Lonchura striata: one gene and its partners. The protein of the gene in region 4 interacts with the protein of the main gene of each other region in a pairwise test. Links are inferred from orthologs where the notes say so. Each region holds a gene or a part of one and is shown on either strand. Other genes may lie near its edges.

What was found.
Region 1: the proteins of GEM (region 4) and KCTD9 interact in binary tests that used the Homo sapiens proteins (3 or more experiments, as listed by UniProt). The two-hybrid records come from large-scale screens. The link is inferred for Lonchura striata from reciprocal best matches to the Homo sapiens genes GEM and KCTD9.
Region 2: the proteins of GEM (region 4) and AHCYL1 interact in binary tests that used the Homo sapiens proteins (3 or more experiments, as listed by UniProt). The two-hybrid records come from large-scale screens. The link is inferred for Lonchura striata from reciprocal best matches to the Homo sapiens genes GEM and AHCYL1.
Region 3: the proteins of GEM (region 4) and PDLIM7 interact in binary tests that used the Homo sapiens proteins (3 or more experiments, as listed by UniProt). The two-hybrid records come from large-scale screens. The link is inferred for Lonchura striata from reciprocal best matches to the Homo sapiens genes GEM and PDLIM7.

Annotation. Positions count from the first base shown.
Region 1 is NC_134634.1:2,694,986-2,702,137, forward strand, and holds the start of KCTD9 (BTB/POZ domain-containing protein KCTD9), read left to right. Parts: upstream 1-4,146; 5' UTR 4,147-4,181; coding exon 4,182-4,229; intron 4,230-5,125; coding exon 5,126-5,247; intron 5,248-5,868; coding exon 5,869-5,912; intron 5,913-6,090; coding exon 6,091-6,187; intron 6,188-6,376; coding exon 6,377-6,435; intron 6,436-7,048; coding exon 7,049-7,152. Other genes in the region: CDCA2 (cell division cycle-associated protein 2), read right to left, coding at 410-540, 1,083-1,596. UniProt on the Homo sapiens protein: Substrate-specific adapter of a BCR (BTB-CUL3-RBX1) E3 ubiquitin-protein ligase complex, which mediates the ubiquitination of target proteins, leading to their degradation by the proteasome.
Region 2 is NC_134632.1:1,193,114-1,200,420, reverse strand, and holds the start of AHCYL1 (S-adenosylhomocysteine hydrolase-like protein 1), read right to left. Parts: upstream 3,014-7,307; 5' UTR 2,935-3,013; coding exon 2,830-2,934; intron 1-2,829. UniProt on the Homo sapiens protein: Multifaceted cellular regulator which coordinates several essential cellular functions including regulation of epithelial HCO3(-) and fluid secretion, mRNA processing and DNA replication.
Region 3 is NC_134617.1:3,217,862-3,225,321, forward strand, and holds the start of PDLIM7 (PDZ and LIM domain protein 7), read right to left. Parts: upstream 3,021-7,460; 5' UTR 2,956-3,020; intron 1,755-2,955; 5' UTR 1,753-1,754; coding exon 1,648-1,752; intron 1-1,647. Other genes in the region: DOK3 (docking protein 3), read right to left, coding at 3,253-3,969, 4,050-4,222, 4,308-4,401, 4,524-4,817, 6,103-6,159; putative ATP-dependent RNA helicase DDX41, read right to left, coding at 6,836-6,972, 7,182-7,292, 7,400-7,460. UniProt on the Homo sapiens protein: May function as a scaffold on which the coordinated assembly of proteins can occur. May play a role as an adapter that, via its PDZ domain, localizes LIM-binding proteins to actin filaments of both skeletal muscle and nonmuscle tissues.
Region 4 is NC_134603.1:24,314,225-24,321,114, reverse strand, and holds the start of GEM (GTP-binding protein GEM), read right to left. Parts: upstream 3,001-6,890; 5' UTR 2,840-3,000; intron 1,115-2,839; 5' UTR 1,106-1,114; coding exon 772-1,105; intron 1-771. UniProt on the Homo sapiens protein: Could be a regulatory protein, possibly participating in receptor-mediated signal transduction at the plasma membrane. Has guanine nucleotide-binding activity but undetectable intrinsic GTPase activity.

The DNA of each region.
Region 1 (7,152 bases), on a different chromosome or scaffold from region 4:
ATTTAATCTGTTCCTCTAGTCTAGAATTTGCTTTCTGACAGCCCAGGATAGTTCAAGTTATGAACAAATCTGATTAGCCAAGTAACTCATGCTTGAAATTGACTTCACTTGGAAAGAGCAACAGTTTAATTACCCAAACCCAAGTGCAGCCAGCACGGGAAAGTAACAAAAAATACAATTTATCAACAAACTCAACATGGAGAAGAAATTCCAGCCTCTATGCAGTGCAAACAAAACCTGGAACATTCCCTTGTCCTGAAATCAGGTGAGCAAGGGACAACAGCAAATTACTGCCATGGTTATTCCTTTTGCTGGATTCTTCCCAAGACTCAGCTCCCCTTCTCCCAGCACTGGGTGGTTCCTGGGGGGAATGCAAGCTCCCCATCAGGAATTTGGGAAGGACTCTCACCTGGGTGAAAGCTTCTTTCTGTCTGCTGCTCCTCTGCTGGGCCAGGTACCGGATCAGAGTGTTGTTTTCTGGTGATCCCCTCAATCCAATGGTTGATCTTCTCCTAAATTTCAGTGAAGTTGGGGAAGGCCCTGAAAAGGGGACAAGAGGAGAGGTGAAAAAGAAAAACAAAGTACAAAACCACAAAAATGTTTTGTAATACCTAAAGCTTTAAAATGGTAATTTAATCTTTTTTAGAGGTTGATTAATGCTACTTATTCTAAGGTATAAAATTACCTGCTCTGCCCAAGAAACCTCCCTGAGCATATCAAATAATCACGAATCAAGTCTGCCTTTTAGCTTTTCAATTGTTTGTTAGTGTGCACCAACACTTGCAGAATTTGTCTTGCAACTCCCTTGTGAAACAAGACGCTTCATTAACTGGAGAGAGATACACAGGGAGCATTTAACTGTGTAGGATATGCCCAGAACAGTTAAATGGCATAATTACCCTGTCTGTGGCATGTCCTGTAGAGATGCTGCAACAACAACCTCTTGAGAGTGCTCCTGGGCACATCCAAACCCTGCTCACCTGAACCTGCCCTAAATGAGAGCCTCTGGAACGAGGCTGGACTAAAGGAGCTGGAGAATCTCCTCTGAGAAGGACAAAAGCCATCTGTCACCCCAGCCTCACCCGTGGGTCGTGTTCCAAAACCTTCCTGAGCGATCCCAACCTCGGCATTTAGCACAGCAGCAAAATCAACGGGTTTTTTCCTCTGTTCAGACAGCCCAAAATCAGGCTTTCCCTCCACTTGGTCCCTCTCAGGAGTGGAGAAGGCGTTTCCCAAGGGAGCAGCCGGGCTGCTGGACAAATCCTCCCTGGTGAGCAAAGGCAAGGGGGGCTCACTGAGCACATCCCGCCCCAGTGCCCCCGAGCAGCCCCCCGGGAGCTGCCAGCCCACATCAGCCCCCTGGGGCTGGCACGAGCTCTCCTCGGGGCCTCTGGGGCATTTCCAGGCACGTTTTGGTGACCGTGTCCCCTTCCCATCAGTGAAATTCTCCTTCTTGGATGGCCTGATGACTCTGGGCTTGGTCGCTTTGCAGCTCTTCTGGGCTCTTGATGGAGGTAAAGAGGCCTCTTCCTTCTGTTCAGGACAGCCACTCTCGTTTTCTTTAACTTTCAGGGGAGTTTTAGATCCTCTGAACATTGTTTGGGATTTATTTGAAAGAACATCCACTCAGCCTTTGCTGCTGTAATTACAGATTCCTATTAAAAAGAAAATAAAAAACTTATTTACTAAGAGCAAGAACTCACTACCATGCTCAAGCTTCTCCCAAATCCACATTTTTCCTGGACAAGGTGTTTAATAGTGGGGTGGGAAAGGAAATTTATCCCCTAAAACCTACAGGGAAAAGACACAAGGGGCAGGGAGCAGAAAGAAAAACACAGAGCAATAAAAACCTGCATTATAAACGTGCACAGGAGTGGCAAAGGGTAAGGAGCCACAAGGCTATGATTTCACTCTGTTAAACTCCACATGAATATAAAATATGCGTACAATATACAATTATCACAATTACACTGCAACTGTTTTGCTCCAAGTGTTACAATAAATATCAGCAGTTTCATACTACTTTTAATAGCACTAATTAGTAGCAGCAGAAAGAGAATGCAAGTCTTAGAAAGAAATCAGCAGAAGAAACAACACTAGTAATACTTTTTAACTACCATTAGCTTCTAATCTAGCTAAGCTAGATTTTTTTGCAATTCGTTACTTGAAGTGAATGATGCACAACTCAATAACGTGACTCTGAAACTTCACTTCCGCAAACACATGCACTTTTAGCAATAAAATTACGGAAATTAATCTGCTTTACAACGCCTGGGCAAACCTTTTCTTTCTTATTCTTTCTTTTTCTGCTCTTAGGCCCCGGCAGAGCCAATGGCCACAGTCACAGCCACCAGCCGAGGAGGGGAAAACATCGAGCCGGGGGCTGCCCCGGTCTGTAGCGCTCCGTGGGCTCGGGCACTCACAGCCTGCAACCCCGGGAGAACATCCCGAGGATCCCCCGGGAGCGCACCCGGAGCATCCCCCGGGAGAACATCCCGAGCATCCCCCGGGAGCGCATCCCGAATATCCCCCGGGAGCGCATCCCGAGCATCCCCGGGAGCACATCCCGAGAATCCCCCGGGAGCACATCCCGAATGTCCCCCGGGAGCGCATCCCGAGCATCCCCCGGGAGCGCATCCCGAGCATCCCCCGGGAGCGCACCCAGAGCATCCCCGGGAGCACATCCCGAGAATCCCCGGGAGCACATCCCGAGCATCCCCCGGGAGAACATCCCGAGCATCCCCGGGAGCACATCCCGAGAATCCCCGGGAGCGCATCCCGAGTATCCCCCGGGAGCACATCCCGAATATCCCCCGGGAGCACATCCCGAGAATCCCCCGGGAGCGCATCCCGAGGATCCCCCGGGAGCACATCCCGAGAATCCCCCGGGAGCACATCCCGAGAATCCCCCGGGAGCGCATCCCGAGGATCCCCCGGGAGAACATCCCGAGCATCCCCCGGGAGCGCATCCCGAGGATCCCCCGGGAGAACATCCCGAATATCCCCCGGGAGCGCATCCCGAGGATCCCCCGGGAGAACATCCCGAGGATCCCCCGGGAGAACATCCCGAGCATCCCCCGGGAGCGCACCCGGAGCATCCCCCGGGAGCGCACCCGGAGTATCCCCCGGGAGCGCATCCCGAATATCCCCCGGGAGAACATCCCGAGGATCCCCCGGGAGAACATCCCGAGGATCCCCCGGGAGCGCATCCCGAATATCCCCCGGGAGAACATCCCGAGGATCCCCCGGGAGAACATCCCGAGAATCCCTCGGGAGAACATCCCGAGGATCCCCCGGGAGCGCACCCGGAGTATCCCCCGGGAGCGCATCCCTAATATCCCCCGGGAGCACATCCCGAATATCCCCCGGGAGCGCATCCCGAATATCCCCCGAGAGTGCATCCCGAATATCCCCCGGGAGCGCATCCCGAGGATCCCCCGGGAGCGCACCCGGAGCATCCCCGGGAGCGCACCCAGAGTTCCCCCGGGAGAACATCCCGAATATCCCCCGGGAGCGCACCCAGAGTACCCCCGGAGCGCACCGCCGGCATCCCCCGGGAGCGCACCGCCGGTACCCCCGGGAATCCCGGAGCGCACCCCGGGTATCTCCGTGCATCCTCGGGCCCCCCGCTTGCTCCCGGCCACTCTCGGGGTCCCGTTCCCCCCCGAGCCGCCCTCACCTCAGCCCCACGCCCGTCCCGCCTCACGCTTTCAAACCGCGCCACGCCCCTGCGGATCCCTTCGCGCCCCCGCCCCTCCGCCCACCCCAGCGCCCGCCGCAGCCAGCCCGGCTCCGGTAGCACCGTAAGGAGGACGGATCACGGAGGCGACCCCTCACCGCTGCTCTGCCCCGGGGGTCCGCGGGGCTGGCGGGGACAGGGAGGACTCTTTGAGCCGGCGGAGGGATCGCGGGCCGTTTACCGCAGCACCGCGGTGTAGGGGGAGGAAGAAATAAACCGATTAAATGAATTCATTCAACGGCCCGCGCGCACGTGACGGGCAACAACCAATCACAGAGGAACTATGCAAATATCAGCGCTTCTTCTAGTGGCGATTGGCTGCCGCGCCGAACTTTATCCCGCCTCCTCGCTGCCCGTTGGGCGGACGCGCGGCGCTGATTGGCCGCGGGGCCTGCCCGTCAGCGCCCGCCCCTTCCGGGTGTCGCGCGGCGGCGGGCGCAGCATGAGGCGGGTGACGCTGTTCGTCAACGGCAGCGCCCGCAACGGGAAGGTGAGGCCGGAGCGGGGCCGGCCCCGCTCCCCGCGGCCCTGCCCGGCCCTCCCGCAGCCTCCCGGGGCAGCCGCGCCCTGCTGGGGGCAGCGGGGAGCTCCCTCGCTGGGGGCAGTCGCGACAGGGGGGGATCTTTGGTGGCTTGAGGGAGCCGCGTCCGGCTGCTCGTGCGGGGCACGGCTGTGGGATGAGGGCTCTGAGGGGAGACGGGAACCCTGGGGATAATCGCACTGAATTGTTTAAAAGCTCGCTAAAATCATCTCAGGGCTGAAAACTGTGGGGTTTGGGCCCAGGCAGTGCTTGTCCAGCAGAGGAAAAGGCCCTGGGATGCAGTTCCGCACAGAGTCCGTGATCGTGGTGTTCATTTTGGTGTTTCCATCCACATGCTGAGTGCAGACGGCGATGTGACTGTGCTTCAACGTGTAATTCTATTAATTCTGCCCACGATCCCGGGTGCAGGAGTTCATGTGGCCGCATTTCAGCCTTGCACTTCTGCTAAATCACGTCTGTGATGCTGATTTTCCATCCACATCCTGAGTGCAGACAGTTCGCGTGCCTGTCCTTTAATCCCTGTGTTTAGGCAAGGAAGAACACTTGGGAGAGGCTTGGAACAGCACAAGCAGCAATGTTTCTTTAGAGAAAGAAATAGCTGAATTACATTCCTCCAGCACCAACATTTATTCCCTCCATGCTGTTGCAGTGAGTTTTGGTGGGAGCTGTGCAAGCCACCCTGTGTTTGTGTTCCAGCACCAAAGCTGGGCTTTTCCCTTGTTTCTTGGTCAAGATCCAAATGGATTTTGCTCCTCCTAATAGCCCCAATGAAATCTGAAGTAGCAGAACTTTGGAGCGGTTTGCTGGGTTTGTTTTTATTCACAGCCTCTTCTCTCCTCCCCCAGGTGGTGGCCGTGTATGGGACTCTCTCAGATTTGCTCTCTGTGGCCAGCAACAAGCTTGGGATAAAAGCCACCAGCGTTTACAACGGGAAAGGGGGACTCATTGATGATATTGCTTTGATTAGGTGAGGCTCAGCCAGGAAAAGGCAAACCAGAGCTGTGGATTAAGAGACTAACCAGTTAATCCTCCTTAATCCATACCCAGTGCTTTCCCTAAAACCAGATGTGATCATTTCCAGCCAGGATGCCCAAAGGTCCTTTGTGTCTTTCTAACTTCAAACCATTTATTGAGTCAGAACTTGATACAAGCTGTGTTTGAGGCATTTTCACCTCCTCCTGTGTTGATTCTAGGGCAATGGTTGTGCTGTGAAATCCCCACTATTCCAGTGAGCCCTGCAATGGGGGGATTTCTGTAAAAGAGACAAATTCTGTCAGTACTTTGGCTTCACAGAATAGTCCCAGACTGGAGAGAAAAGCAGCTATTTTGTAAGAATTAATTGATTACACAAGTGGTCCCTACCTGGCTGCTGCAGATAAAATCTCTGATGAGGTCAGTCCATTCCAATCCAGTAGAACCTTCAAAATACGGATAAAAAATAGATAAAGAAATTTCAGCTAATAGCCACTGGTCATAATTTACCTGAAATAATCACGAGAGGTTCCACTATCTATTAGATGAACAATAAATTACGATTTAAGTATGATTAACCTTCTTTTTCTCTTCCCTCTGCCCCCTCCTGTCTCAGGGATGATGATGTTTTGTTTGTCTGTGAAGGGGAGCCCTTCATTGGTGAGTCTGTAATTCTTACTTTTTAAACCTTCTATTATTTATTAAACCTATTTAATAGAGTTTATTTTGCATTCATATGAACTTAAGATTTTATTTTCTGGTATTTTCAGAAGATACCTCTTTGTAATTAAAGAATATTAAGGATTTTTCCAGTAATTAGTTTGTTTCTTCTCTGCAGATCCTCAGACTGATGGGAGGGCTCAGGAGGAGCTGACAGGGTCCCACACAGACTGGCTGACTCTCAATGTGGGCGGCAGATATTTCACCACCACCCGGTAAAAATGGTCTTCAAAAACTCCAATAAAGCAAAATACCTTAAAAAGTAACTTACTGTGAAGCAGGAGGTCTTTGATTCCTGCATCTTTCTCTGTATTTTATGTTTGCCACCACAGTTTTGCAAGAAATTAATTCTTAAACGTTTACAGATGAAAGAGAAGTAAAGTTGGGCTGCTTTTGTTTTCTAGGAGCACTTTGGTTAACAAAGAACCTGACAGTATGTTGGCACACATGTTCAAAGACAAAGGTGAGTATGCTGAGATGAACTTTATTATTTTTAAGTAATAAATGAGCAAAGTAGATAAAAGTTACTGTCAGGCTAAGACTGTTGTTCATAAAGGAAAATATGCAAAGTGTGTTAAAGTACCAGAGCAGAACAGGGAATTATTTTTTATTAACTTTATTCCTCTCTTTATCATCTCACCACCTAATGTTGATCATTTGTCTCACAAGCTGCAAACACAGCTCCCATCCATTGTGAGTAGTTTGGGTCCTTTGTTTGTTTACTTGATTTGAGGTTTTTGTCTTGTTGCATCTTCCTCAGTTTTGTCAGCAGAGCAAATGAGCAAACTGCACGAGGCAGCCTTGGGGAGATAATCAGACTAAATTTCAGTGCTGCTTTTATCCTAGACAGGATTCTTTTGTAAAAATCCAGTTATTCAGAGCAGGAACAAGGTCATTTTAAGCTGATTTTTCCCCTCACTCCTCTTTTCCTTCCTTCTGTCTCCAAACTGCCCTTCCAAGTGGAATGTTTGCTATTCCAGTCCCCTTTGGTAATGAAAAACTCTGAAAACTGAAGCAAATGCTCTTCTATCACTACATCAAAAGTAATTTTATATATATATATGTTGTGGAAACAGATGCTTGGGGGAATAAGCAAGATCCTAGAGGAGCTTTCCTCATTGACCGCAGTCCCGAGTATTTTGAGCCCATTTTGAACTATTTGCGTCACGGACAGCTCATT
Region 2 (7,307 bases), on a different chromosome or scaffold from region 4:
CGTGCTTCAGCAGCACAGCACTATCTTGCCCACCTCTGTGCTGGTAAATCATCTCTCTCCACCATCTCCACTGACCTCTAACCATGCCAGGAGGTCCAGGGCAGCTGGCACAAAAACCACTTTGACTTGCAGGGAATCAGAAGGGCGTTTTAATGGCTTAATTGCAATCATGTTCTGAGGCATCAGAGCTGGGGGCACTCAACAGCTTATCTCAGGAGAGCAATTCTCCCTTCCTTGGTCTTTCATCCTCCTGCCAAGGCCTCTGCTGTTCCCCAGCACTATTTGCAGGAACTAGCCAGGCAAGGAAAACAGGAGCCCGGAGCGATTCATTCCCTGAGCTCAGCTCAGCTCGCTCCCCATCTCTGATGTTATCAGCCTCAAATGTCGTGTGTCGCTCTGGGCACCTTCAATATCCTCACCCAGCCAGGAAAAGCTGCAGCAGCCACTGAGTCCAACCAAGGCTCCTCATGCTGCACAGTCAAGTCTGCAGCAGAAAATTCTGGGGATACATCTCACCCCCCTGAGAGGATGGCAAACTTGCCTCTGAGGATGCTCAATGGACTCTCTTTTACCACAGGTGTTTTGGTTCCATGGGATGCTACAGGATTAGCAGCCTGCTGTCTCCTTGGAGCAGTCTCCTGCTGTTAGCTCTGACAGAGATGATGGTTATGAAAAGGTAAAAACAATTCCTGAGCTGAAGCTGTGCTGAGCCACTGCTGGAAGAGGCAGATCCCAGCCCCACATTCCTCTGCTCGTTCCTCCAGGCCATGTCCACAGCCCAGACAAACAGGGCCCAGTCTTCAAGCCCTGCTCCCTGGGAGAGAAGATACCTCAAATCCAGCTGACCTTCCCCAAGGGCCAGACACTCCCGAGTCCCAGCCGTGGCCAGAGCAGGCAGGAGAGGTTCCCCCGAAGGAGGAGGATGTTCCCATTTTCTGTGACTGCTCCGCCTTTGCTTCCACCGCTTCCAGGCGGCTGCAGCCCCGAGGGGAACGCAATGTTCAGCTGCACAGCTCTGTGCAGTGCCTGGAACACAGACCTGCCTCCCTGACCGTGCTGAAACTTCAGCACTGAGCCCAGAGCTCAGGGCCAGCTCCCCAGGTCACGGGGGTCCTGAACCCTGCTTCAGGGGCAAGACCAGCGCTCGCCCACCCTCAGTGCCGCCTGAGCACCCCACAGGGGTGTGGGAGCAGCACCGGGAGATCTCAGAGCTCCTGTGAGGCCTTCAGGCATGGAGGGGCACTGAGGAGACTCGGCAGCCTCTTCCTGAGCCCAAAGGTGCTCCCACTCACACCTCCAACAGAACCTGCCCCCAAAAAAACTCAACACTCTGAAATCTCTCAGCCACCCTTCTGAGTGACCCACAGCTGGATTCCAGGTTGCTGCTTCTGGCTCTTCCCATATGACAGGTCCCTCCTGCTTTGTCCCCACCACAAAGCTCTATCACGCCACAGTCCCATTCCAGGGGCCCACCCTGCCTGTCCCCTTCCCGGGGTCACCCTGTCCCCCTGCATCCCCCCTATGCCACAGCCCTGCTCTTGCCCCCAGGGCTTGACCCGAGCTGGCCCCAGCCCCCTGGAACCTGCCCTGCAGGTACTGGTCCTCCCCTCACCCCCATGCGGGCCAGGGCTGTACCCCAGTACAGACCCCTCTCTCCCCAGCACCCAAACCCTTCCCTCCCCACCCAAACTGGACCAGCAGCCCCCTGGGGCATACCTGCCACCCCCAGCCCCCTCGCCAGTCCCCCTCTCTGCCACTGCATGGGGACAAGCCCCACTTCCCAGTTAAACTGATCCATCAAACTGAGTCAGTTCCAGCCTTCCAGCACAGCCCCACACCTGTGGGGCCGCTCCTCCCACAGCCGGGGCACGGTCGTGTCCCCCCACGACCAAAGGCTGCTCCCCACAACCGAGGGGTGCTCCCTATGGCCAAGGGGTGCTCCCCATGACCAAAGGCTGCTCCCCACAACCAGAGGCTGCTCCCTATGGCCGGGGGCTGCTGCTCCCCACAGCCGAGGGGTGCTCCCCACGACCAAAGGCTGCTCCCCAAAGCTGAGGGTACTCCCCACAGCCGGGGGCTGCTGCTCCCCACAACCGAGGGGTGCTCCCTATAGCCGAGGGCTGCTCCCCATGACCAAAGGCTGCTCCCCACAACCAGAGGCTGCTCCCTATGGCCGGGGGCTGCTGCTCCCCACAACCAAAGGCTGCTGCTCCCCACGACCAAAGGCTGCTCCCCAAAGCTGAGGGTGCTCCCCACAGCCGGGGGCTGCTCCCCATGGCCGAGGGGTGCTCCCCACAGCTGGGGGCTACTGCTCCCCACAACCAAAGGCTGCTCCCCAAAGCTGAGGGTGCTCCCCACAACCGGGGTCTGCTCCCCACAGCCGGGGGCTGCTCCCCACGGCCGAGGGCTGCTCCCCACAACCAAAGGCTGCTGCTCCCCACGGCCGGGGGCTGCTCCCCACGGCCGGGGGCTCCTGCTCCCCACGGCCGGGGTCTGCTCCCCACGGCCGGGGTCTGCTCCCCACAGCCGGGGGCTGCTCCCCACGGCCGGGGTCTGCTCCCCACGGCCGGGGGCTGCTCCCCACAACCAAAGGCTGCTCCCCACGGCCGGGGGCTGCTCCCCGCCCGGAGCGGAGGCTGCATGCCCCGCCAGGGGCCAGTCCCGCCGCAGACCGGGCGCTCGCCCCGCTCCCCCTGCAGCTCGGGCTGCTCGCCCCCGCCGGGAGGAGGCTGCTCCCCGCGCCCAGCACAGCCCGTGCCCCTGCGGCACAGCGCTCCGCCGGCAGCCGGGGCTGCACCCCGAGCCAGCCCCCGGTCCCGGCCCCGCTACCTTCTTGGGGGCCTTGGTGACGGTGGCCATGAAGGAATATTTCTCGGCGTCCTCCACCTCCTTGGCCTGCTTCTCCTCGCCGCCGGCGGGCTCCGGCACCGACATCCTGGTGCGGCGGGGAACGCGGGGCGGGCCGCGGCCGCCGGCGGGACCAAACGGGGCACGGGCCGGCGGAGGGGCCGGGAGCACTGCGGGCTCGGCTCGCCTCTGGCCCGGCTGGGTTTGGTTTTGTTCGGTTCGGTTCGGCTCGGCTCAGCCCGGCTATGGCTCTAGCTCGGCTCAGCCCGGCCCGGCTCGCCTCTGGCTCTGGCTTGGCTCGGCCCGGCTCTGGCTCAGGCTCTGGCTCTAGCTCTGGCTCGGTTCGGCTCGGCTCGGCTCGCCCGGCCGGTCCCGCTCGGTCGCTCGCTGCCGCCGGCGCGCTGCCTGCGGCGGGTCTGCGGCCGGCGCGCCAGGGGCGGGGCCTCCTGACGTCACCGCGCCGTGACGTCATCCGCCGGGCTGCCGAGGCCGCGCGGCGCCGCCGGGGGAGCGGGCGAGGGGCGGGGCGCCCCCTGGCGGACACGGAGGGGAGGGCGCTGAGGGGCGGGAACGAGGGCGGGGCCAACGGGGGCGTGGTCACTCAGGGGGCGTGGTCACTCAGGGGGCGTGGTCACGGTGAGGGGCGTGGTTATTGTGATGGGCGTGGTCACTCAGGGGGGCGTGGTCAGGAACCTCAGCGCGGGCCAAATCCCAATTAACCACAATAATTATATAACATAAATAAAATTGCATATAAATTTCTATAATATATCATATAATATGTACTATTATGTAGTGCATATAATTATATAATTAATATGTAATTAATATATAATTCATATATAATTAATTCATCATTAATTCATTATCTAATTAATAAATAATTATATATGCATATAATTAGTTTTTTAGTTAAAATAGTTTTTAATTAGTTTTTAAATTAAAACTAATTAAATTCCTTACTTAGACTAAATGAAAAAATTATTAAGATTAATTTTATGCATTAAATAGCAACCACATAAATTAAATATTAATTATATATAAATGTGCAAAATATGTTAATTTATTTATATCTATAAGTTATGTATATTTACATTTCTAAGTTATTATAAAGCTATAAAATTTCTATACATTAATTTTATGCATATATATATGGTGTGCATGAATTTATATTAAATTACTGAATTATATAAGCGTATTACATAAATTATATTAATTTATATACAATTTTTCTAAATAAGTATAGACACTAAAAGAGCTGTGGGTGCCCATCCCCAGGTCCCGAGCTGTGGGTGCCCATCCCCAGGTCCCGAGCTCTGGGTGCCCATCCCCAGGTCCCGAGCTGTGGGTGCCCATCCCCAGGTCCCGAGCTCTGGGTGCCCATCCCCAGGTCCCGGAGCTGTGGGTGTCCATCCCCAGGTCCTGGAGGTGTGGGTGCCCATCCCCAGGTCCCGAGCTGTGGGTGCCCATCCCCGGGTCCCGAGCTCTGGGTGTCCATCCCCAGGTGTGTGTCCGGTCCCGGAGCTCTGGGTGCCCATCCCCAGGTCCCGGAGGTGTGGGTGCCCATCCCCGGGTCCCGGAGGTGTGGGTGCCCATCCCCAGGTGTGTGTCCGGTCCCGGAGCTCTGGGTGTCCATCCCCAGGTCCCGAGCTGTGGGTGCCCATCCCAGCGGTGTTAACCCCCGCGGTGCCAGCCCCCCGGGCTCGGGGCAGCGCCTCCCGGCCCTCGTTACCCATTAACGAGCCGAGCGGAGCCACCGGGGCTCGGAATCACCCGCCCACATCCCCAGCCCAGCGTGGGGGTGCTGAGCACTTTTTGGGAGTGCTGAGCCTGGCCGGGGCTTCCTCCCGCACTCCTGCTGCTCACCGCCCCGCAGCGGGCTCTGCCGGCTCCTGCGCTCCCGGGAGGGTCACAGCCAGCCTGTCCCCGGGGCCAGGGACACTGAGGGGCCGCATCCGCATCCCGGAGCGCTCCCGGCTCCGCAGAGTCCCACACGGGCTCTAGGGGCCATTCCAGGACAGACAGACAGGCGGGGGGCTCTGAGCCCGGACCACCCCATCCCCAAACGCCCCCCAGCAGCAGGGAGGGCTCTGAGCCCTGTTCGCCTTCACTTCCCCGGGGCTGCTCCCTTAAAATACAACCTGGGGAAAAAAAAATCAGCGTGTGGGTTAAAATCCCCAGGGGAAAGAGCAGATAACGGTTTTTAACCAAAACCGCTTTGTCTGGCCACAAAATGGGCCTCTGGCCACCTAAATCCTGCAGCAGTTCCTCGGCCAAAACCCTGTCCCGGAGCCGCCGTGCCCCGGGAACCGCGGCCCCGGGGCCTTTCCGCTGCTTCTGCCCCGTCAGCAGCTCTGCGGTGCCCGCGGCGGCTCTGGGGAGGCTTCCAGGGTGGGCAGAGCTCTCTGGGGGCTCTTGGGAGGGGTCTCAGGACATCTGGGGGGGTCTCCGAGTGCCTGGGAGGTTTCGGGAGAACGGGATGAGCCTGAGAGATGTCCCAGCCCTGCCAATGCCACAAGCAGCAGGGCTGTGGGGACCCCCAGGACCCCCGGGGGGGGGGTGCTGGTGACCATAGTCACTCCATGCCAGCCCATGCTTCAGGTCCCCTGAGCCTCTTGTCAATGCTTTCCCCTCCCACCATCCATCTTTTCCCCCAAACTCCCTGTTCTCATCCCATCAAAGCACCTTTTTGCAGTACAAACCCATCTGGGACCCCCGGAGGGACCCCCGAGTGCCCCACTCAATCCTGGGATGGGGGGTTCTTTTCTCCCCTCCCCTTCAGGTGCTGAGGGACAGGGATGTAGCTCCATGGGATTCCTGAGTGGGGGGCTGAGAGCAGGTTTTGCCCCCCAGATTGCAGGGGCTGGGGGTGGAAGGTGCCCGGGGCAGGGAATCACATCCCTGCTCCCACACAGGGTGGGGAAAAGGCACCAGCTGGGAACATGAGGAGCACAGGGACCCTCCTGGCCCGAACCTGAGGGCAGGGAGACAGTTTGGCTTTTTTCCTGCATTTTCCAGATGCTTTTACAGCACACAGAGCAGCCAGAAAAAGTCAGGGATGAGCAACTGCGAGGTGTAAGCACAGAGGGGTGGGCACTGGTGGTCCCCACACCGCCCAGCAAACTGGGATGCTCCCAGCTCTGCCCCCCAGCTCTGCCCCCCAGCTCTGCCTTAGCTTCAAGCTGCCTTCATCCAGCTCCAGCCACCCTCTCCTGTGCAGCTGTGGAGCTGCCTGGTGTATCCTGGTGCACCCTGGAGCACCCTGGAGCATCCTGGAGCAGGCCAGGGACTCGCTGCCCTCAGCACCCCCAAACCCGGGCACGGTGCCCACCCCTAAGAGCAGCCTCCGGCCTCAAATACCCCCCAAATCTGACCATAATGACCGTGGCACGGATCCAGCAGGATATATATAGGTCCCACTTCCCTGGGAAGGGGATGTGGACCTGGGAAACCCCCGGCTGCTGTTGGGGAGAGGAAGGGCTGGGCTGAGTCAGCTCCCCTCGAGGAATCCTGGTTGTCAGCAAACAAGGCAGCAGCTCAGCCCTGGCACTCACAGAAAGCTCCTAGACCCCTCCTGCCCTTGCCCCCCCCTCGGATGAGCAGGGGGGGTGTTCACCCTGCACACCCCATGGGCTGGTAGGGACCCAGGGTGATGGGGAGCCCCCTGGCATCCCCCTGGAGACGCTGGATCAGGGTATGGGGCTGCCCTGCTCCTGGAAAGAAGGAAAGAAAGCAGGGGGAGCGATGTGGGGGGAGGAAATGCCTCTTCCAGTGCTGTCACTCTAAGCAAAGTGCTCCAGGAAACTTTGCCTCAAGTGTCTTTGTTTTAAACAGCTGCTTCCCAACCATTCACACAGATTTTGGGGGGCCACAGCACCAGAGCCGGTGCCTGGAGCTCTCAGCGGTGCCGGCAGAGCTGGGGCAGGAAGGGCAGATGAATCCCTCTGCCCTCATTGCAGTGGCCACGAACTCCCACACGCATCCCCAGGGAAGCAGGTCAGGGTAAAACCACCAGGACTCAGCCCCAGTCACCCCCTCAGGGACCCCAGGGATGTGACAGGGCAGCCACAATCTCCAGTCCCCCCTTGCATCCCAGACTTACACCAAGCTACACATCTCTGTTTATTAATAATATTAAATATACAAGTTGTTTTCCATTATTTTCTTTAAATAGACTTTTAAATGCCTTTGTATAAAATATTTCAGGATTTCATTGTATAAAAAAAAAAAAAAAAAGACATCCCAAAACCAACAAAAAGCCCCAACCAAACAACAACAACAACAAAAAAAAAAAAGGCAAAATAAATCCAACACGGGTAAAGGCAAGTTTTCTCCCCCAGGAGCAGCTCCTCCACAGTGTAAACTGGTGACTTACACCACCAGGAGTTTGGCCCCAGACTTCCTGCTGCATCAGGGCTTTTATCCTGATTTACACCAGTCCCTCGCCCAGGAACCCCCTC
Region 3 (7,460 bases), on a different chromosome or scaffold from region 4:
CTTTCCCAGCTGGCAGATGCCAGGAGGTGCCACACAGCATCCAGCTATCCAGACTGCAGTCCTTATCACAGCTCCTGCACAGGGACCATGGTTTACAGCCTGCCTAGCCAGGGTGTCAGCACCCTAGCAGGCCCCGTGTCAGCACCCTAGCAGGACCATGGTGGCACCTCTTTTGTGTGATCAGTGAGCTGAAACAGCTTCACTGCTCACCCAGGAGTGCCACAGTGATGGACACAGCTGAAAGTCAAGCCAATGGACAGCATTGTCCTGTGCTGCCCACCCTTGCAGACCTGCAGAGCAGGGCCCCACTGCAGCCCACAAAGCTAGGGCAGGATGCTTCCTTCCAGCCTCTGCAGCAGAGCCAGCTCATGGGAAGCAGTAGCCAAGGACAGCGGCATGCTCTGGGCAGGAGCTCTGGGTCTGGGGGTGCCTCTGCAGTGCAGAGCAGCACAGGCTGACACTTTCCCATCAGAGCACACCGCCCTGCCATGCAGCCCAGCCTCACCAGAGAGCCCCCAAATCTGGCTGCATCCCCTGGGAATGTCCTTGCTGCTCCTGCCCTGCCCAGGACAGCAGCACTGCCCAAGCCTCACCGAGAACTGCTTCACGAGGCCCCTGCCCCAGGCTCTGGGAGGCTCCTCCATCCAACCAGACCCTTTGTTAAGAACTGGCTCGCAGCCAAGAGAAACATTTTTTAGAGAATAAACTCGCTGAATCTGTCTCTGCGTGCTCAGCAGAGATCAGCAGGCCCCAGGGCAGCGGCACAGGCGACTCCAGCCTCACACAGTGCCCTCAGGGCCCATGCTCCATGCTGGGATGCTGTGGAGATCTGTGCCCTCTGGGGGACGTGTGCAGTGCCCAGCTCGAGCCAGGGGCAGGTCCCCACGCAGCACTCGATGCCACAGGCAAAGCTGTCCTTTGAGAAGCCGCCTCCGTGCCAGCTGCCCAAGCGCCAGCGGCACAGGCGATGCACTCACATTCCAAGGCTTATAAGGCAATTGCGTGGCCAAAGCTGTGGCCAGCACCCGCCCAGGGCCGGGGACCTGCACACAGTCAGGGTCAGACCCGGGAACATTGCCACAGGAGAGGCTCAAACCAGCGGTCACAGGCACAACCAGCTGTGGCCAATGGCTCTCACTGGAGAAATGGGAGAATTTTGCGGAGGGAGTCACATCCATGCAGGTAGCAGTGCAGCTTCCTCCTCTCCCTGCCCATTTCAGGAATGACCACAGGCACAGAGCTGGGAGCTGTGCTGGGGAAATGAGGGTGCTGAAGGGCACTGGCTAAGTCCTGGGATGCCAAGCCCAGTGCTGGGGTGCAGACCAGGAAGCCAGTCCCACATCTCAGAGTGCAGATCCCCTCCTGCTGTAGTGGGAACACTCCGGAAGGGGCCTCCCCTGCCCCCCTCTGCAGAGGCTGTGCAGAATTTCATGTTTCTGCTGCAGCTCTCTGCCCGGAACACCCCCGTGCTGAGCTGCAGCTGATAAGGGACCAAGGAGGCTACGTGGAGCCAGGCAGGGCAGGATGCAGCATTCCCGGGGCCCCAGCTCATCTACATCCCCCGTAGGGTTCTGCCTCAGCCACTGCGGCCTCCCGCCCACAGAGGCAGGAGGAAGGATGGGTGTCACCAGCCTCGGTTTCTCTTACCCTGGAGATGGAGAGTGGCATGCTGAAATCCTTCCCTCCCTGCAGCCTGAAGCCCCAGGGTGCCGGCCCATTCAGCATCACCTTGTAGGACTCCATGTCGCCCATCTCTGCAAGGGAAGAGGATGTGATTCCAGCGTTAGGGTATGTGGAAACAATGCAGGAAGAGCAGGCGAGGAGAAGGCTCAGTGCCTGGCAGGGTAGGACAGGAGGCAGGTCACGTTTCCAGCTGTAACTCCACCCTGATCATCCTACACTGTGGTTAGAGACGCACCCCAAATCCATCAGCATCTCCTCCAGCAACATCAGAGCTGAGGGGCCCAGGCTAACACTGACTAGTGCCAGGAAGCCAGGCACAGCCCTGCTGCCACCCACAGCGGAGTGTCTGTGGGCTCTGCTCTCTTCCCAAACCTGGGATGTGCTCTCCTTTGCAGCACCCCAGGAACTCCTGCTGCTGAGAGCCAAGGCTGTTCAGACCGCAGAGAATCAACAGCAGGTACAGAACGGTAGGAACCAGAAGCATTTTTGCCGGATGAATTAGCAGCAGCCGCAGCACAGGAGCTGCGTGATGCCACCCGAGGCGCCTGGCAGAGAAGAGGGGCTGGCGCTCCGGCAGCCGGCCGAGCAGATGCTCCCTGGGAGCGAGCCCATCTCCGGGGCTTCGGCAGGAGGGAATCCCGGCACTCCCCTGCCTGACAGCTGTCAGCCGGCCAAGGCTCCGGACAGATGGGCCAGCACCAGCCTCCCGTCACCTTTTACCTGGAAGAAGCCGCCAGACCCCTCCGAACGGCCCCAGGACCTTCCTGCCGAGGGCGGCCAGGGCCGGCGGCGGGGCTCCCCACGCCTCGCACGGGCCGGGGGCCAGCGTGCCCCCGCTCTCCCCGGGCCGGTGCGGTCTATATAAGGCGTGTAAGACGACACCAGCCCGCTCCCCGCTCGGGAGGGCCGGGGGAAGAGCTGCGTGTCAGGCATTCCCGGCGCCCGGGAGCCGCGCAAGCCCCAGCGAGGCGCCGGGACGGGGCGGGCGGAGACCCCACACCCTCCCCGACTGCACGGGGGTCCCCGGCGTGCACAGGCTGGGCAGCCCTGCTTATTGCTGGGCGGTCCCACCCTTACCCCGGGGCGCCTCGGGACCCCTCCCCATCCCACACCGCCGCCCCCCTACAGGGGCTGGGGACGCCGGCTCTGCCCCACACGGGCCCGACCCTGACCACCCGCTTTCCCGTTAAGCCAAGCCCCAGCCCTCCACCCCTCACACTCCCATCCCCCCGGCAGAGGACGGAGCCGCACGGCCCGGCTCCCCGGACTCACCCGCGGCCAGCGGGGCCCGGCGAAGCGGGCGGGAGCGGAGCGGAGCGGGCGGACGCGGGACTCGAACCCGGGCACCGCCCCCGCCCGGCCCGGCCCCACTAATATAGGACCGGGGGGAGGCGGAGCCAGCGGGCGCTTCGGCCAATCCCCGAGCGCGCCTCTGCCTGGCGGGGCGGGCGCGGCGGCGCCCCCTAGCGGGGAGGCTGGAGCTGCCCCCGCCCGCCCCCCCCGCCCCCGGCAGCAGCGGCGGAGCCGAGTCCGGGCAGGGCCTTTATTGACCGAACGGCACCGGCCACATCAAGCCCAGTCCCGCGCTCCGGGGCTCTCCCGGCTCAGCAGCCGCACCAGCTTGGCCCGAAGGGTGCTGTGAGGCTTGTGGCTGGAGCGCCCCGACAGCGCCGCCTGCCCTGCGCGCCCCCAGCCCGCGGCCCGCGGGTTCTGTGCCAGGGCGGCCCGGTTGTCATAGACGGGCCCCCCATCACTGCTGTGGCCCTCGGGGGCCTGCCGGCGCCCCAGCTCCCACTGCCCTTCCTCCTCCTCTTCCTGGGCCCCGGTTGGATGTGCTTCTGCGGTGAAGATGTTCTCGTAGAGATGCTCAGGGAGCGGCTTCCCCACGGCCCAGGGCTCCCCAGAGCCTGGCTGCCCTGACACAAAGAGGGGCTGCTGGCCCCGGGCGATGGAGGCATAGACGATGGGGCATGAGCCCTCCGGCTCTGGTGGGGTGAAGCGGAGAAGGTTGGCAGGGGGGTGGGAGGCGGGCTGTGTCCCCCCCAGGGCTGGGCTGGGCTGGGGATCATCGGTCCCAGACCCCCAGGGCTGGGGCTCAAGGCCCTGTGCAAAGAGCTGGGGCTCTGAGACACAGAAGAGTCTGGGGTCCAGGGTGTCCTTGCCCTGCTGCTGGCAGGCAATGGCAGCAGCCACAGCCCGGCAGAGCTCAGGGGCCCGTGGGGTGCTGAAGGTGAAGGTGCCCTCGCCGGAGTCACTGCGGCGGCCAGCCTCGAAGGAGAAGACAGCCTGCAGGGTCAGAGGCGAGAGTGAGGGGCTGCCACCCACCCTGGGCAGGCAACAGCCCCAAAAGGGAGTGGGGAACGCACCTGATCCTGGCCAAACTTGCGAAGGAAGGGGTAGGGCCAGGTGAGCAGAGGCTGGCGAGACTGGGGGTCCTTCAGCGTCAGGCTCTGGGGAAGGGCTGAGAGCAGGTAGTGCCCGTGCAGCCCACAGCGGGTGGCTGCGTCTGTCTGGACCACCAGCACCAAGAATTCAGTCACTGTGAGAGCCGAGCAAGCCACAGGTCAGCACCGCAGGACTGAGCTGCAGCCCACCCCAGCCCTCTCCACCACCCCTGCACGTACGGTCCTGCCAGGACGAGTAGAGGGAGTTCTCCTCCATGGGGACAGCGGGGCCAGGCTGAGTGCTGGCACTACTCGGCACTGTCTCTTTTGCACCCTGAAACAAAGAGATGTGAGTATGACCTGGGACAGGGGGTGGGGAGGACAAATCCCCTGCCTGCCCTGGAGCTTCGCAGTTCACCCAAGTAGGGCTCTGGGCTCTGCCAGACCCCTTGGTACCTGGAAAGCCAGCTGGCAGAGCTGGGTGATCCATTCATCGCGCTGCTCGGCTGCCAGCACATAGCTCTTCTCCGTGGTGGTGAGGTAGAAGGCAGCGGTGGCTTTGGGGCAGCTCTCTGTGCCCGCCGGGCCCACAGAGACGCAGTCAGAGAGGCGGATCACCCGGCGGGCACACCGCTGCAGGGATGTCTTCTCTGGCATCGTGCCATCATCCCGCACATCAAACTTCTCCATGCGGGCCACGCCGGACGGGCTGGCAGCGAACAGCTGGGCTCTCATCTTCCTCCAGGACCTCTAATGCATGGAAAGGGCAAAGCAGGGAAAAAATGGATCAGTGAAGAGCTGGCTGCTGCATCTGGCAGCACTGCCCTCCATACAGGGCATGAGGGGCATTGGGGAGTCCTGGCCTGCACCCACCAGATGCTGTTGGAGGGCACAGAGAACAGGGGCCAGCACAGACCCCTGAACTGTGGGGCAGGGCAGGCACAAAGCTGGGCAGAGGGGCGCCTTGCCCCGAGCAGGCTTGGCATGGCTCACTGGGTGAGTCACACTCACTCCTGGCTCCCTGAGCACCAGGTCCTGCTCTTTGTTCCCTGCTGCAAGTGCTGGCCTGCCGACCTATAGCTGAGCTCTCGAGCTGTTCTCAGGACAGACCCTGATGCAAATTAAAGCCATTTTGAGCTGCTAAGGCTCCTGTTGGCAGCTTCACATCTGCTCAGCAGCCTGCTTCCTCCCAGGGGAGCATCTGTAGCACCAGCACCTTCCCAGTCTGTCATGGGATAGCGGGGGCGCGTGCCACCATGTACCTCAAAAGTGCAGCAGAGCCTCCGCCCTGCAGGAACCACATGCAGCCAAGCACCCAAAATACCCACCACCCCCAGCCCACCTGCCTCCTACATGGCAGGGCACCAGCTCTTCACACACACGGCTGCCTGCTGCACTTTCAGGGCTTGGTTCTTCTTCAGCAGGGAGGTCAGAGTGCGATTGCAGCCCCACACATCCACTGAGACCCCCACAGGACATGGCCACCCTGCCATGGCGTGACCAGTGTGCCGGCAGAACCTACTTTGCCAACACCCAACTGCTCTCTGGAGCTGGCCCGACCCCAGGTACTCTCACCATGTCACCCATACCCTGCCCCAAGAGCTGCAGCACTCAGTGCCCCTTCCAAAAGCACAGAGAAGCAGCCCAAGCCATGAGGGTGTTGCTGTATGGCACTGGCCCCACAGGGCCAGGCCGATGGAGGTCACAGGGACACGTCCCACGTGCTGGCCCAGGGTCCTGCTCACACACACACACACAGATGCTGAAGCTGCGCCATATTAACACGTTTATTCTTCCATTGAGACTCTCGTGGTGACCAAGCAAGAAGAACCCAACACACACGTGAGCCAGAGTGGGTGCCCACACAGATGAGTCCCCTCAGCCCCACGGGAAAACCCCACTTATGGGGCTGCTGAGCCCAGGGCTCCCCCACTGCTGCAGTTGCCCCTTCTCAGGCTGCTAAGGGCCCAGCCCCAGGCCCAGCATCATGTCAAATCAGAGCAAACCCTCTACCAACCCCAAATCCACCCTTTACCTTTCCAAATTTGGTGTGCTGCACATAAAGGATCCCATCCTTCACTGGTCTCTCCATGGGCCGAGTTCACCTGGGCAGCCAGCGCAAGGATAAGGGACTCAGGCTACCCGCAGCAGAGAAAATGTGACTGCTGCAGTCGAAGGAAAGGCATGGGGCAGACTTCCGTCTCTGAGAGACTTCCCCTTTTTGGGGTGTGGGATGGGGGGCAGAGGCTGGGCTGCAGGAGGTGTCCGTGTGCCTGTCCCTCCCCCTCACAGCAGGGCAGTGGGGCAGAACGCGGGGGCAGAGCACAGGAAGCACCTCGGGGAGTGCCTGACATGAGCACAGCATGCTCCACCTCACCCTGGCTGCATCCTCCCAGCATGTCTGGGGAGACAGGAACAGCCACCTGAGAATGCACAAATCCAGGTGAGGGAGATGGGCCCAGAGAAACTGGGTGGATTTGTGAGGAGCAACACAAGACCATGACCTCACCACTTCAGGGGGCTGGCAGAGGCAGCAGACCAGTGGCCCCACCTGGGGCTTTCCCTTGCCCTGAGGCACTGCTACCTGCTTGCCCAACACACCGCTGATGTAATGGGCTGTTGCAGCACAGCTCCATACATTTCCTGCAGGGCCTGAGCTGGCAAAGTCCCAGTGACCAAAATTCTAGAAATGGGGCCACAGCAGTACAAGACAGGCCCCTAGGCTGAAAGGAAGCCCAGGCCCACCCAGGGGCAGCACATTGTCCAGGCTAGAAGTCCATAGAGCTGTGGGCCAGGTAGTCCTTGCGGCCGATGTTGCTGACTTGCTTGGTCTGCATGGCCTCCAGCTTGGGGCAGTCGGTGATGCGATGGCCCAGGCCACCACAGAAGGCACAGCCCCGCTCACCTGCAATGGGAGGGATGGGGTCAGGGCCAGGACAATGCCACGCCAGGGCAGCACAGTGCCACACCAGGACAGCAGCCCCCACCCCAGAGCAAAGGGGCTACACCAGTGTCTTCCCAATGCTGTGGCACTGGGAGCTGGAGGGTCCCGTCTGGAGCCCAGGTTTTGCAGCAGCCCCACAGGGGTCCCTGTGTCAGCCTGGGGTCTCTCACCATTGATGTCCAGCATGGTCTCGTCCCCACAGTGCAGCACCTGGAGCACCGGTGGCACCTTTTGCTTCGCCTCCAGGAGCAGAGCCTTCAGGTCCATCAGCACTGACTCATCTGGGGGCACAGACACAGGTCAGGCAAAGCCATTCTGCTTGCTCAGAACACCCCCCTGGCACTGCCCAGCTGCCTCCTCCAGCCCCTAGCCCCGTGCTGTTCCTCACCACAGGCCTTGTTGATGAAGGTGGTGGCAATGCCAGTGTTGCCTGAACGGCCTGTACGCCC
Region 4 (6,890 bases):
GCAGTGACTACATCCTTGGAGACACAGCAGATTTCTTGGCAGCACAACCCTTCCACATCAACACCTTGCACACAGTATAACCCAGGATTTGGTGCTCCAACTTCACCTTCTGCACAGTCTGATCTTTGGGATTAAAAAACACTTTGCAATCCTAAACTTTGCAATCATAAGCAAATCAAGGGGGGAAAGAAGGGGGAAGCATCTTCTGGAGGAGCACATACTGTGCAAATAACATGAAACAAGGTTTTTACTCAAAATTTTATATATTTTATTCAGTCCATACATACTTCTAATGGCAAATATTTTGGATGTAACTTTCTCTATATATTATTTTAAATTATTTAATTCTTGTAAATCATGAGGACCTTCAGTTGTTTTCTCTCTCAAAAGGAAAGCAGGAGTCAGCCCTGTGATGCCAGTGGTAACACCAATGTTGGACTAGCTATGAAAGCTAAAGCAGACTCCTGTGCAGCATCATCACAGGTAGGAATGAGGCAGTTTCCAACTGGTATTTTGGAATGAAACAGCATAAGAATCTGAATTGCTCTCTTTCAGTGGCTTTCAGTCATTGTTGGAGAGTATCTTACTCATCTTATTTTGCTTTCTTCTTTTCTTAAAAGAGGTGCTTGAGTTCAATCAGTTTTTATAATCAGACCCAAACACTTGTTACTTCTGGTTTCCATTAAATGGCCTCTCTCTTTTTCTGTGCCAATTACTACAGGCAGAGCTGACTGCAGGCAAACACCAACACCCCAGGACATAATTACCTACCTCCCAGCACCTCACAGTCGCTGTCAATGCTGTCGTGCACGCCTGCAAAGATGTTGGCTAGCGAGGACTTCCCCACGCCGTGCTCCCCGATCAGCACCACGCGGTAGCAGCTGCTGCCAGACTCGGAGGAGATGACAGAGTCGGATGACTCCGAGGACCAGCTCCTTCTGTAATATTCATCAGGACTGATGGTGTATCGTTTCTGTGGGTTGTACTCATTGGAGTCCTTCTGGACCAGCAGATTCTTTCCATCAGCAGGGATGCTCCATCGCTGCTGCTGCTGGTGCGGGCTGCTGTTGTGTGTGCGACGCATGGTAACATTGTTGAGAGTCATTTTTAACCCCTAGTGAAAAATAGGGAAATCACAAATGTTACCCACGAAACATTTAGAAATGCTCTCTTACTAGCTTCAAGGGGCCACATCATGCTCCTCTGTAAGGACCTAATATGTGAGAAAAGAAAAATTAGCCTTTCTGCACTCTAGCGTACTTGGTGGTGCACAAAGCAGTATTTTATTTATTAGCTAGTGAGACAGAGACTGTTTCCCAGGGATAATACCACCCTCACATGCTAAATCCTATCTTGTTCAGCCTTTACTAGCTCACGGCTGTGCTGGGTGCAGCCCAGTCCTGGAAAGAGGGAGGCATTGCTGCGTCCCAGGAGGAGAAGGAGGGGACAGTGCTCGCCACACCGGTCCTACACAGCAGCTGCAGCCCTGCCGAGAGACTGCCTGTGGTACAGGCAATGTTCACCTCCTTTTGGCATCACTGGGGACAGACAGAGACACTGGTCCCAGTTGCCTCCAGCTGCCGGAGCAGCTGGGTGTACAGCATCTTTCTCATTGACTCAGTTAAGAGCTGAAACTCTTGGGAAAGCAATAAGTCATAATTCACTGCACTCTTGAGACAACCCTGGTACAAAAAGTCATGCAAGCAAGTCTTGCTGTGATGGGGTGGATTTGGGTCTTGTCTGTGGCCAGGTAAACAAAGAATGATTCGGCCTCAGACAGTGACTTTTTGGCTGGTAAGAGGGAGGACATAGTGAAATCCAACAGCTTTTCTGAGGAGGTACAAGTTATAGCTTCTACAAGAGATAGAACTGAGATAAAAGGCTCATTAATTTATAGATATTAAATCAATTACTTAATTTCTGCACAATTAATTAGATAGGTTCATTTTTCTAAAATAAGCATAGCTCTTAATTACATTTTACTCAGCAAACTCTATTTTGCCTTGCTTGGAGGCAGGGAAGAGTGATGTCATTCTCACAGGCCAATACCTACCATTTTTAGGAAAGTTACTTTGATGCACTCCAGTTTCCAAAGTGACCATTATTCAGACATTTTTCTTTTTTGCCCTATATCTGATGTTTCTTGACTCTCTCCTCCATATCAGTAAATAGGATAATTGTCCATAAAATTCACCCAACTACTTTCAAAGCTCAATAATAAATGGTGAACAGTAAAAAGTACAGTAAAGCAACATGTACAAATTGCTATTCTTCTTCATAAAAAACTGTCTGAAAACTTCTGTGACTAAATTCCCAGCAGGACCAAGGACAAAATATATAGAAAAAGCACTATCTGAATTTACTACAGAATACACAATATTTTCTGTGTGATGTGCAGTACTTTGGGGCAAAAGGAGATCGTTTTCATGGTCCTAGTCACAATAACTTTGTCAGCAAGAGATACATCTGAAGAAGAAATCACGTACTAAGCAAAGACTTCTTCGCAAACAAACTTAAATATTTGCTGTGGTTGAATTCTGAAATGCACTTTTCCCTTCAGTATCCCCATTGAAAAGATCAGATGAGAAAATCCAGATCGCATTCAAACAACAGAGTAACTCACAACCTGCAACAAGCTGTCACTCACAAAAACATCACAAACACAAATATTTTACAATTTAGCCTCTCACAAATTGTCATCCCTCATTAAAAAAAGCCAAAGGAGTCCCTGTCACACACTGTGCTCCAAGTTCAAACTGGTTTTGCTACCCCATACTGCATTTAGCTGCCTGGGTCTGCAGCAGCTCCAGGAAAAGACTGGGTCCAAATCCACTCTTACTTGTGCCAGGCTCCCGCAGCCAGTCCAGTCCTTTGTTCCCCCTGCCCTTCTCCCTCGGTGGGCTGTGACACACTGAGCAGCTCTGCTGAAGTAAATCCTCTCCTGCTTTGGGTCTGCCTCTTTAATTCTTTCTCAGCAAACCTGGTTTATATTAAGCCCATCTGATCAGAGACAGGGCTTTTCCGTGACGTGGCCAGCCTTCCCATACAACAGCCAGCCCCCAGCTGGGGGAAAGCAGACGTGCAGCAGAGAAAAACTTGCAAACAATCTCAAAAGACTTACTCAAAATCATGTGATTGTTTCAATATTGCCAGTAAAATAAACACTTTTGGTTCTTGCGTGATGAAAACAGGAAAGTGGAACAAAAATAAATAATGGATGTTATTTAGCCTCAGAGAGTTTTAAATTCAAATGTTATCAAAATTAATGATGATTTAAAAATCACCTAAGTTTATTTAATGCATTAAATTCTGTAAATGTATTATGTATCTGTTCTCTGTCGGCAAAACACACTTAACCCCCTGCTGGACAAAACATTTCTCTGGAATAAAATATCTGAATGTTATTTTGAAATATTTTAGAAGTAGGAATATTAATTCTAGGGGCTTAGTTGGGGTTTTGTTTGTTTCTTTGTTTCTAAAGCACCAGTATTTACAAATATGTTATTCTCTGTCAGGCTCCAAGTGACTGTACCCAGTCTTCTGATCTGTATAAGCATCTCTTTCTCACTTCTGCTTCAATATTTTACTACCAAGGGCTTGAAAAGACATCCAACTATGAATTCAGTGTTGCTGCAACTGGATGTTGGCAAAAATGCATCAGAACACACAAAGTCTGCACAAAGTCACACAGTGTTGACACTGTGCACAGGAACAATCACTATATAGTGTACATGCCACAAACTCAGGGTCTGGTCCTTAAATTTTTATAGCCTCATAGCTGATTGGCAGAAGAAATTTTGCCAGAAGGCAAGAAATCCAAACCTGTTGAAACTTGCAACAACATACTTCTTCATTAGCAAAGGAAGAGTAAGAAACCGTGACAGAACTACTTACTAGGGCTACCACAACTTTTATGTAAGTATAAACAAACCCTGTAGTCAGCTGCCAGTTATCCAGACTCTGGATTAAATATAATGAGGTCCTACTGCTTTCTTTTATATTTACATGTTTACATTTTATATTTACATTTATATTTACAATCTCCTGGTCCCTGAATCAAACAGAAAAGTTCTTATCCTAGAAGTCTGAACAACTTTGGCTTCAAACAGGGGAATAATTCTTTTTTCCATGCTACAGGTAAGCAAATCTTTAACTGACAATGTACCTTTATTGAAGGGAACACTGATGTGCAGAAAACATCTCTTGTTAACACTGCAATTGAAATCTCTTTGCCTTATTTTCCCATTGGCTTTTTTGCATTCCTGTATCTTTCATGAGGGTTCTCAGGGACCTCCTGAGCCATTCTCAAGTTTTAAAGGCCAAGAGCTTTTCACGAAGCAATAGGTACTCATCAGTATACATGAAAATTATGCAGATCTACCAAGGGTAGGATTGGGCAAAAATATGCCCTGACTTTCTTTCACATGTATTTCAGTGCTTGGCAGCAGCTCAACTGGCCCCAGGTCCTGCATCTTCACCCCACCTGTCTCTTACTCATCAGGGCCTCTGCTGCTCAGCGATAATCCCAAAGAGCACAAAGTGCCACATCCCTCTGTGTAGGTTGTACAGAGGGGCTTGTAATACTTCCTGCACAAAATGTAACTAGATCTCTATCCAGGAAGGTTTGTGACATGGACAGTACTTTGCAAAAATCCTTTTCTGTTGGCATACCCAACTGAAGTTGCTCGTTTTTTTGAAACATGCTGGAAACCATGAAGGTGAGTGGGTGGTTGGAGCAGTATGAACCTCAGGTTTGCATAGCTCTCTGTAAGTTGTCTGTAATTTTTCACTGCTGAGTAAAAAAGCAAAACCTGTCCACTGCAGGACTGGAGAGATTTATGGCCAGTGATTGCAGCAAAACTGCAGGCTCTAATGTCTCACCCAAATGTTTAACATATATCACAGCAGAAAGTGCAGACAGAAGAAATAAACCAAAGGCAGAAAAGCCTTTGTGTTTAGTTGTAGTTACTGTTAGATTAGGAATTGCTAGACATCATCTTTCATATCCTCTTCATAAAATTCAAGACAGACAAAGAAAACATGTCTCTCCAGAACTACACAATATATCTCTTCCCTAAAGCCATACAGAAGAGTTGTCCCAACATGGCATGAAGTGCTTGTACTTGGGGAACTTGCACATATGTGTTTTTCTTTGTACTGTCTCTTCTGAGCCTACTCTGGTTTTCCAGTGCACAATTAACTCTCCAGGTCCCATTCTGCATACACCTCCACAGGATGTGACGTTGTTGCTCCTCAGGGAATGCCATCAGCACTCATGAGCTTCACTCACTCTATCTGTGGGTGAAACATATTCTTAACTGTTTTTAAAGCTGGGGAGAGATGCAGCCTTTTTAGCCTCTGGGTACTTACAAGGGATAACAGCAGGCTGATTACTGAAATATATTAACTGAGTCCTTCATAGGGACAAAAACAATCCCATGGACTGAGACTGGTGCAGTCTTGGTCTGTTCAGCCCTTTTGCACTCGTTGCAGGTCAACATTTCTGCAAGTCTCATGCCTGCCCAAGGCACGGGCATGAGAAGAGACAAACCATAAGGCCAGTGCTGTCGCAAAGCACACGAGTGCTTGAACGTAACTGCCCGCTGCCATATCAGAAGTCAGAGGCATTGTTTTTCTTCCATCTTATCCACTCTCTGTTTCATTAATCACATCTTAAAGGAATTCTCCCTGCAGCCAGGATGAAGTAAACATTGCAGAGTAGCAGTTCTGCAATCCTTCCCCAGACAATTACAATTAGACCAGGTGATGCCCAGAGCAATTAGGCAGAAATTTTCCATTGGATATAACAGCAGTGCTTTTTAGCTGACACTTAATTAGCCAGTTTGAATTTATGTATATGATGGTAAAAGTAGTTCCTCAAATCTTCTGGTGTAAGTGTTGTCCACAGAGAAAACATAAATCATCTTGGAGTAGGAGGGGAATTCCAGGGAGGAAAAAGAAAAGCATGAAAAACAAAATTCAGATTTATTTTAATGAAAAGTGAATGCAGCATGTTTGAAAGTGTGTTTTCTCCCTATACATCCAGCAGAGAAGCTCACCTGTATCATTCTCCTCAGAAAGCCTGGCTTTGTTGACTTTGTTTCCAACAGTGAGTTGCCTGCACAGGCAATGAATGAGGTCTGCCTCTCCTCCAAACCATTGTGGCATTTCAGACCTTTCTGTGCTTCTCACATCTTGCAGTGCTGGCAGACCCTGGCTATTCTCAGCCCTACCAACAACAGCAGCTATGGACAGAAATTAATTTGGGTGCTGGGCTGGATAGTGCTGGACATGCTGGGAGTGCCCACAGTCACTGCATGCCCTCCCTAGGGAAGCTGCTCCATTGTCACCATCCATTCCTACTGCACAGGCAGCCACAGGCAGCTGGGCGAGCAAATGTAGAACAAAAGGCAAAAATAGATGTGGGATGAAGCAGCATTGAGCCCACAGCAATGGAACTGTTGGATTACTTACACCAACTTATGTCCACAGCTTTGCCTTTGCTGATCCCAATTCACATCTGATGACTCAGTGTCAAGTTTCACACTGGCTGAAAAGGTGCAAGGGTTCAAACACTCTGAGACTGGGATGTATGAGGTAGGGAAATGAAGGATTATGTGCCTGAGGTAAATTACTGAGGGTGTTAAGAGGGGGACAGGGCAGAGAAAGACACTGAGTAATTAAGAAATAATAAAACATTGATTCATTTTAAGGGGCACAGTCAGAAGCACCTGAAAGTGCCAGCATCAAATTTTAAAAATAGACATTGCTCTTTTCAGTGGTGTAGATTTGGTCGACGTGGTTCCTAGAGTTGCTTACAGGGAGTACTAAATTTGTTCCACCAGCTCCTTTCCTTCCACATCACAGCAGCATTTTTACAAATCTTTAAC